2 linked regions of the Oryza sativa Japonica Group genome follow. The main gene of each other region encodes a partner of the protein of the gene in region 2 in a complex. Links are inferred from orthologs where the notes say so. Each region holds a gene or a part of one and is shown on either strand. Other genes may lie near its edges.

Region 1 (4,701 bases), on a different chromosome or scaffold from region 2:
GATCTATCTAATGTTCTGAGTAAATTATTGTTATTTAGGAACACTTTACATATGTAATTCGAGGGGAAATAATATAATGTTCTGAGTACATTATTGTTGCTTAGTAGGATTTGATTATTGCATTCTGCCATTTCCCATGAAATGCTGTATGACTTGGGCAGTATGGTATATCTGTTGGTTAACCTGTGACTTGCAGAATGTCCTTGGATGTTTGAAGTACTACAAAAGTTCAAACTGGTAACTACCCAACCCTTAATTGATGGAACAGAAGAATCATGAACATCTGTTATTTCCACATCATGTCAGCTAACCGGTCAGCTTCTTGTCTTGGCGTATTGGTCCTGTTACTCGAAACTTGCGCACATATGGCAGATCAATTGAAGGTGTTTGGCCAAGTTACTATTAAGCAAAGCTTTACCTCGCCAAAGAAATTAAGATTAATCATATGTATTACTATTTCCATTGCTTGTGAGGACACAAATATCATCATGCTCGACAAAGGAAAAAGTGTACAGAGGTCATGGTTGCTCAAAGAGTATACAGAAGTCTTGGAAATGAAAGCAAGGCCAAATTGGTGGGAAAATATACACCAGATGTTTGTTTCAGTTACTAGCTACTTCGTGTTTATCACTACTCATAGTACACTTTCTGAATACTTGAAAGAAAAATCATTACAATATTGTATTTGCAAACTGATTGTATCCCTTCAGATTTCTCTCTCAAGGTCAGCTGATACAATTTTGCATTAACATACTTCTAGCTATGATTTTTGGATTCCTAAAGGATAAATGCCGATGAGTTTTCACACTGAGCAAGGACTCTGCCACATTGATATGTCCGATATTAAATCATGGAGTTGGTCGATAAGGAGCTTTACATGCTTGTTTTTGCTTTCAATTTCCTGCAGTAAACATCCTGTATTAGACTGGTTTACGGTACCAGAGAACAGTATGCCACATTACTAGGTTGAAACAAAAAATGTATTATATATGTCAAAAGCGTGAGGACTCAAAACTTCCACAGACCATGATACCACGGGCATATATAGAAATCTGAACTAGGACACATGGGATCAGCTAATTGAGATTGTACTGACCAGTGTATGTTTAAAATGAAATGCTTTGAACTTTTTAGGAACAAACTATGTAATCGAGGCATTAGAGAACACTGTTTGCTACATAGTTATTAGAACTAGACCAGACCAGTGGTCCGATCAGAAAAAAAGGGAACCAGGGCGTTGGCTGGTCCAGTCCAGCTAAAAGATCGTTGAGCAAACAGACCGGCAAAAACCCATTGAACCGGGCGGTTTTCTGCAGAACCAGACAAAAACCGAAGGTGGTTCGACTGCTGGAGGGTGTCACGTGGAGTTAGAGAAAATAGGAAAAAACCTGCTGAACTGAAGATCGAACCAAGACCTCCTTGCTTCCACGGAGAGTCTCAGCCGGCTATGTCACATGTTGTTCTAGTATTCTAACACACATCTATTTGAACCGCTTTAAACCGGCGGTTTGACTGGTCCGACCAATAAACCAGTGAACCGAGTACCCTAACAGTTCGATCACCGGTCCGGTCTTAATAACTATGGTTTGCTACACTTCAAACATAGGAGTACATGAAAATCACTGATCTCAATAAATCATACAAATGGAACTGAATAAGCCACAAATCCATTTTTCTATACACATTTATACACATCAAGGAGAATAATCTGTATTTATGCTATAATGATCTAGCATAGATAAGGAGTAGTTGAGACTTACAAGGCCATTACAGCCAACAGCCCTCCAAAGGATGAAAAGGATTTGCTAAATAGTCCAGAATCCAATTAGCATCAAAGGTGGATTTGCAAAAACTTACTCCCTCTGTCCCAAAATAACAAACCTAGTAACAGACCCCTATCCAGATTCCTAGTATTAGGGTGTGTCACATTCCATACTATGTTTATTTATTTTGGGACGGAGGGAGTAAGTTCTAAACTAGCAGGCAAATCCAAGTATGCAAACAATAATGACATGCAGTATCCAGTGCAGAAAAAACAATGATAAGATAACAACTTAACAAGCATGAATATTGCCAGGAAAGATCAAGATGGAACGCTTTTTTGACGAGTTCAACAGAATGAACATGACTATCCAAAACACTACAAGCAACACAGTATCACAGCTTGCCAAACTAGATCCTGGCTATCTAAAATGGTTTCAGGTAAAAATTGGGGATTACACTCTTCTCAGGACTTTTTGAATTAAAATGATTGAAGCATAAAAGGAACATATATATATATATATATATATATATATATATATATATATATATATATATATATATATATATATATATATATATATATATATATATATATATATATATATATATATATATATATATATATATATATATATATATATATATATATACACACACACACACACACACACATTATGTTCAAAACAGGTTGTTTGGGAAATATTTGGGATTGACATGGCTAAATAAGCACCAGTTACCAACTGGTTCAGGGAAAAATTCTGAATACAGCAAAATGATATTGATTATATTGCTAGAACATTCCCAAGATAGTACCTTTCTCAAAGCAGATGCATGTTCTTCCAATCTCTCAATCTCAGCTTGATCAGCTTTGTGTTCTGTCGATCCCATCTCCTACGAAGAAAACCACAACATCATTACAAAGAAGTAAACTGTTATGAGGTTTCTCCATAGCACCATATTTTGCACATCAGGATTACACTTACTGCTAAAAATAGAATCATATAAAACTACTATTTTTGTCTCATGAACATTGAACACTAAAAGCTCATGTTGATTGAAACATATATATAGTCCACATCCATGTAGTCCGAACCTACATCACAACATCCCTTACATTCCCTTACATTGGTATCAATAATAAGAAATTTTCTTTTGCAAAAATTATTTGGCTCCCTTACCTATGTATAAGCACCTAACTTGATATCAACAAAGAGTGCAATACGTTTCACAATTTCCACTAGACGATCACTAGAAACACGCATTTCGTGGTTGCATACATACTACGGGAGCATGCAATGTCGGGTAAATTCGTGTGCTGACCTGAGCACAGGACGACACGGCGGCGATGGACGTGCGGAGCGCCGCCATGGCGACCTTGTACCGGTGCCTGGCCTCGTCGAGCGACCCGCCGGAGCCCGGCGCGCCCCCGGGCCCTCCCCCGGCGGCGTCGGCGGCGTCGGAGTCCGCGGAGTGCAGCGGCGGCGGCGGCGGAGGGAGACCGCCGTGGTGGTGGTGGTGCTGGTGGTGGTGGTGGTGGTTGTTGCCGTGGTGCTGGAGTCCGCCGGCGCCGCCCGCCGCGGCGGCGGCGGCGGAGGAGGAGGACCAGAGCGTGGGGTTGCAGAGCTCGTCGTTCATGGAGGAGAGGATCTGGAACGCGGCGGCGATGGTCTCCTCCAGGTGGCGCTGCCCCTCCGCCGCCATCTCCTGCCGCCGCCGCGCCGCCGCCGAGGAGGCCATCGCCGGAACCCTAGCCGATCTGCTCCTCCTCTCGTCGGCGCTGGCTGTGAAGTGAACTAAGCTTAGCTTCAGAGCCCAACATAGTCCAAAAGCCCAAAGGATATGTTGATTTTGGGCCGAAGCTCGAAGCCCAGGCCTGGCCTTATCAGGGCCCTAGTATTTGAGCGGAATAAGTCCAATTTGTCTCCCTCGACTATAGGTCCAATCTGATTCGTTCTCCCTTAATCGCAAACCGTGTATATCGAACCCTCGGCTATTAACACCGGTGAATAAAAAAACTCTTTTTAGTTATTTTGAGGGTGGTTTTCGTTAACGTGGCTCATTGAACTGGTCTAACCGATTAAGTCAGCATGTGGGACCCACATGTCGTCCCCTTCTCTTTCTCCTCATGCTTTTGTTTTTTCTTTTCTTCCCTCTCCTTTCTCCACGCGGTGACGAGCTCAAGCATGAATAGTGTCAGTGACTTAGACGACAAAGCCACCACCGACACAACCAACTAAGCTTGGTTCTGTTGGCAACCTTGTGGAGCAAAGGAGGGAAGGGCCACAGCGGTGATGGAGAGTCGGAGAGGCCCAGTGCTGCCGTAGATGTCCTCTTCATTGTGGGCTCCAACGGTTGCCACACCGAGGCCCCTCACTGATCTGGACAAAGCCGGGTCCCATCAGTGTTTCTCCTTCACAGATCCGAGCCTCAAGCCACTTCCCCTTCTCTCTGTCGCCTCCTCTAATCCGACGTCCTTTTCCCACCTTCACCTCTATCAACGCCTCGGTTAATAAGGCCTAGCAATGGACAAGGATGGTGATTGACCTCGCTGTCATCGAGATCTAAGAGTCCTTCTCCTTTATATGTTGTGGAGCCATACATGGCAATAGTGAGGGAGAGAGAGAGGAGGGTCACGTGCATATCTCTGCATGGCCAAGGGATAGCCACCACCCGTCGGAGGACAAGGGGTAGATGTCGACGAGCTCTTGTAGTCATCATTGCCACCGAGGGGGAGGTCATCCTCGATGGCTCGCTGGAGCACGTCGTCCATGTCGTTGACCTTAATGACAGACTCAAGCTGTAGGCAATGGCGAGCACATGCCCCCTATCCTTGGTGGGCGTGGCAACCTTGTTCCGCTACCGTTCTTGGTGAGGGCAACGAGGCAAATCCAATGAGGCAAGCGAGCTCGATCTTGATGAAGCTTCTCCAGAGATAGG
Region 2 (4,765 bases):
AAATTGAAATGTTAGTTCTCACAGCCATCCCTGATACTTCCATTACACATGTTTAATTCTTAGCCTTGCTTTAGCTTTATCCACCTGAAAACTTATACTATCTTGTTCTGCTACCAACCACCTGAGGAAGCTCTACCATATATACAAAATTGAAATGTTAGTTCTCACAGCCATCCATTAATGGAACCCATCTACAGTCACACAAAAATATATAGCTCTAAAGTAGTAGGACCAGTGAAGTAGTGAGCCACACAGAAGTATCATGTTTACTGCATACCTTATTCTTGTCTATTCGCGTTTCTTAAGTGCAAAAGCCTTCAGAAATGATGTCCAAGACTAAATCATGTTTTCCTGTTTATTGGATTTTTCTTTTGTGCTCCAATTGGCTAAGAAGCAAGGTCACCTGAAATGACAAACACTAAATCAGACTATATATGGCCCAATAGAAGTACAGAATAAATATATTTAGATAAAAGAAAATGTGAAAAAGAAATTAGTCAACAACAATTGGCAGCAAATGAGTGAACTCATCAACCGTGCAGTGAATCAAATGAAAGACCATAAGGGACGACAATCTAGTAATTGTTGATGATCACAGAAATAAAGAAGAAAAATAAGAGGCAGGCAGCCCAACAGCAACAAACGGGCTTGATATGGCTATTTACCCTGTCATTGCAGAAAATTGCAGTGTAGGGTTTCATGTATTTTCCATTTCAGTAAGAAAGGAACTGTTATTTTTCGCCTGAATAAAAAAGATAAGAGACCAGGCATGGTTGAATTTGCTCTATGTAAGATAATCTGCAAGATATTCAACATGACAACTATAATGTTAGTATGTATGAAACTGCAGCACCAATCACGTAATATATAGCCTGCAATTATCCACAAAGGTAAAGAAGAACCGAATAACATAACTAAAAGGAGATGCATACCATTAAGCTTGAATAAGAAAATTCAGCTAGAGAACTAATGGGGAAAATTCACAAAGAGGAAAAAAGGGGATTGAAAAGAGTCGATTTGAGTTGAATCAGGTATCACCAACATAAGAGAGGGAGGCGCACGGCTGGGAGGCCTAGCTGCTGAGTCTATCCTCTTCCAACGGTGGCAACACTGGAGGACTCACAGAGCAGCGACAAAGATGGAGGCTCAGTGTCGGCGGAAGGCTTGACCACCGTGGCTCGACGGGGTGGCGTCGCCAGCGGAGCCCTGGACCACTGAGGCACCGATTGCAGGGCGATGGCGGAGCTGCGACGCTGGTGGGAGGATGCACAACCAGGGCGAGACGGGGCAGCGGCACTGGTGGAAACCCTGGACCACCAGGATACTGATTGCGGTGACGACGGCGGCGGAAGTGCGGATGATGACGGATGGCGCAACAACGTTCAAAGGCGCGGCGGCGGCGTTATCGTGATTAGGGGAGCCACCGCGGGATTAGCGCGATGGAGCCTTGGTGGTCCACGCGTGGGGAATTTTGTGAGTTGCCATGGCGCGATTTGTGTGGCCGATGGGGAAGACCGCGGCTCCGGCTGTGGAAGGGGACGATGGCGACGTATGGGCGGCGGCGTCCGGGCAGCGGTGGAAGGGTACGACGGCGGCGTCTAGGCGGCGGCGGAAGGGGACGATGGCGGCGTGCGCCACGCGGGGAGGAGCGAGGAGGCGAGGAGGAGAGGGGGAGCGAAGCAAGGGGACGACGGCGGAGCGGCGCCACGCAAGGAGGAGCGAGGAGGCGAGGAGGACCGAGGCGGAGTGGAGGAGGCAACGACGACGATTGGGAGAGCGCGTCGGATTTGAGGATTTGTCGTTGCGGCGATGGATTGAATGCGGCGGAGGCGGGGTGCGCAGCAGAGATGGCACAGGCTCGCGCGTGGACGGTGGAGAGGATAAGGTCGCTATAATCATTGGAATCGGTGGAGCAAGGAGGATAGCGAAACGAATTGACGGTGGAGATGAGATGAGATAGTAGATGGACGGATGAGATGGGAGGTGATTTCACATGTAGGATTGCTAGGCACAACTCCTCCTTTTTATATTAGTATAGATGAGGCAGATTTACCATGAAACCCTTAAATCAATAGAGGACCGCATGAAGACATAAGACATAAGCATCCATCATTATAAGATAGATACAGCCAGCTGATATCACCAAACTAATGTGTCCATTGGTGATGCCCTGTAACAAGGAAGAAAGCAGCAGTTGCTGCTGTGCTATTTGGCCAGCCACACGACGTTTTGCCCTCTGCTGACGGCATGCATGGACTTAAGATATGGAAAATTCTTCCTCGGCCTAGCAAAACACTACTTGTTTGAATCATTGCTGGTTTTGCTGCCTCTGCTGGGGAAAGTTGGGATTTTGTGTCTGGTTCTGGAGGCCTGTCATGCCTTGTTGCAGGTTCTGAGCATTTGCTTGCATGTTAAATTGCTGCTGCTGCTGCATTCCCATCATGCTGGTAGAATTTGCGCCTCCCATACCAAACACTGTAATGGAGAGAATCGCTCGGTAAATATAAATATAACATTTGAAATAGTGAGGATTGAGGATAACTTCCTCACAAATTATTAGTACGGGAAAAGAATAGATGAATGGACAGTTCTAAATCATGAGCATTTAAAGACTTTCAACTAGTACTATTTCCAATACCACAAAGCTAGTGACTTGCCTGGACAAGACATAAATCTAGGAGATATAAAACATATATAGAATAACAGCATGCTAAAAATTTTACCAGAAATGCCCATGACTGTTTGTAGGTACAAATGTAACTACAAATATTGTACCTACAAGCTGAATCCTGCCTAACCTCACAATAGGATAAATAATCAGGAGCAATATATTTTGTTCCTCTGAGCTATGATCAGCATGTGGATAAATGCAATACCCAGTAATAATTAGCACATATATCTTCTGAGTTTACTAGTACCAAGTATGACAGTAACAGAACCAGCATAGCAGATAGTTGTATATAATCTCTCTAACAACTACTGTAGCTGAATGCCCATGCTTTGCTACGGCTAAAAGAAAATGTATTAATGTGTTACCAATTTTTTTGCTATAGGGAATATTCATCTTAATCTACTCTTTTATGTGGCTATCCATTTAGATTTGATCTTTAATATTAAGAAGTTCAAGGGGTAACCGCAAAATTTACAATGAGTAGATGGGGGGTGGCAGATTCACTGCCACCACCACTACCTTCTTTTAAAGGAGTATAGATAGTAAACAAAATTAAAAAGAATATAACACGGCACATACTTTGGTCAGTCAGCATTTGGGATGGATGGCTCCTTTGAGGATGCCCACCAGTCAAACTGTACTGATTAAGGCCTTGCATTTGTGGCAAAAGTGATTGTGATTGCATCGACCCAGGTATATTTGCCATCTAAATTCAAAAACAAAAATAAACAAGTTATACAAACATCAGGGGATTATTAAAAAGAAATCTAGAAGATAGATGACACTGAACAAACTAAAATATGTAGCAACTGACGTTTTTTTGCACTAAATTACTAAAAAGGAGGATGCTATCTAACCATCTGTGAGTTCGAAGATGCCTGTGCAGCAGTAAACATTGCACTGTTTGCAGCTCCAGTGAACTGGCTAATATGACTTCTTAGCTGATTTCCTTGGTTCAGTTGACTCTGGGACATGCCAGGTTGCATGCGCCCAGCTTGCATCTGCCTATTCTGATACTGTTGTGACAAGGCTTGATTGTACTGCATCTGCTGTTGGCCAGGGACCTATAAGGTTTTACAACAAGTTAAAAGGTTTGTAAGAAATTGTTACTGTTTCAGCAAGTAGAATACATAGAAAAGGGAAACAATCAGTGGTAGAATTACCTGTAATTTTTGTTGGGATTGGCCCTGCAGATCTTGTAGCTGAGGAATTGCGCTCTACAGGAAAAGTATGGAGAATCAAGCACTAGAAAAGGAAGGAACAATGCTTTGAAGTAAATGAAATGGAATAATTTTAAGACAGCAGCATAGAAAATGAAAAGAAATGTGCTTTTAATAGCTACATAACCTTTGGGTGCTGTGACAACTGAGATGATAAACCGTAACCCAGACAACAAAAAAGCCTCCGAAATAAAAATTACCTTACCTGTGCTAGCATCCCAGCAGCCGATGGTCTTAGTTGCTGTTGAGCATGTAGCTGCTGTTGCTGAGATGTTTGCATCAGTTTTTGCCTATGTTGTTGTGCCGTCAAATGCTGCTGGGGTGAAGGGGTGTTCATCATATTGGTCCCTGACCTAGGGGAGTTTGCATATGGCATTGGAGGAGTAGATACATTTTCAAAATTAGGCGTTCCTGTAGCTCCAGGTGATGGAGCAGGTCTGCCAAGTAACTGTCCTCCAGACACCTGCTATTAGAATGAAGGCCCAAATTTGAACATCAAGATAGAAACATCAAAGGCCTGCATGAGGTCAGGTTGGTGATTGCTCTTATGAAATGCAATTGTCTTAATAATAGTTCAAGGGAAAGCATTCTAACCAACACTTAATACAGTTGATCATAGAAAGGAATACCAATATACCATTACAAATTATATGGCAAATTGATACACGGGAAACAAAACATCTGCCTTTTGTAACTTTTTTTGCTTTCAGCCCAACTAGCAATAATATGGACATATTCTATTAATTTCGTAATGGTCAAAGCTGTTATTACTGGCACTAGACAAACCTGCATTGGATTTCCCTGGGCGTTGACAACATTAGGTACAAATGTTGAGGTATTTTTGGGGTACACACCTGCAAGTATAGACTCTAGT

The links. Proteins that work in one complex are often made in the same cells at the same time.
Region 1: mediator of RNA polymerase II transcription subunit 8 (region 2) and mediator of RNA polymerase II transcription subunit 30 share a complex: the UniProt entries of both Arabidopsis thaliana proteins name them as parts of the mediator complex. The link is inferred for Oryza sativa Japonica Group from reciprocal best matches to the Arabidopsis thaliana genes MED8 and AT5G63480.

Annotation. Positions count from the first base shown.
Region 1 is NC_089038.1:19,468,543-19,473,243, forward strand, and holds mediator of RNA polymerase II transcription subunit 30, read right to left. Parts: upstream 3,572-4,701; 5' UTR 3,502-3,571; coding exon 3,085-3,501; intron 2,656-3,084; coding exon 2,578-2,655; intron 902-2,577; coding exon 803-901; 3' UTR 432-802; downstream 1-431. UniProt on the Arabidopsis thaliana protein: Component of the Mediator complex, a coactivator involved in the regulated transcription of nearly all RNA polymerase II-dependent genes.
Region 2 is NC_089037.1:18,127,345-18,132,109, reverse strand, and holds part of mediator of RNA polymerase II transcription subunit 8, read right to left. Parts: intron 4,746-4,765; coding exon 4,678-4,745; intron 4,358-4,677; coding exon 4,097-4,357; intron 3,889-4,096; coding exon 3,835-3,888; intron 3,736-3,834; coding exon 3,529-3,735; intron 3,378-3,528; coding exon 3,251-3,377; intron 2,476-3,250; coding exon 2,309-2,475; 3' UTR 666-2,308; intron 404-665; 3' UTR 278-403; exon of another isoform or gene 133-277; 3' UTR 85-132; exon of another isoform or gene 1-84. UniProt on the Arabidopsis thaliana protein: Component of the Mediator complex, a coactivator involved in the regulated transcription of nearly all RNA polymerase II-dependent genes.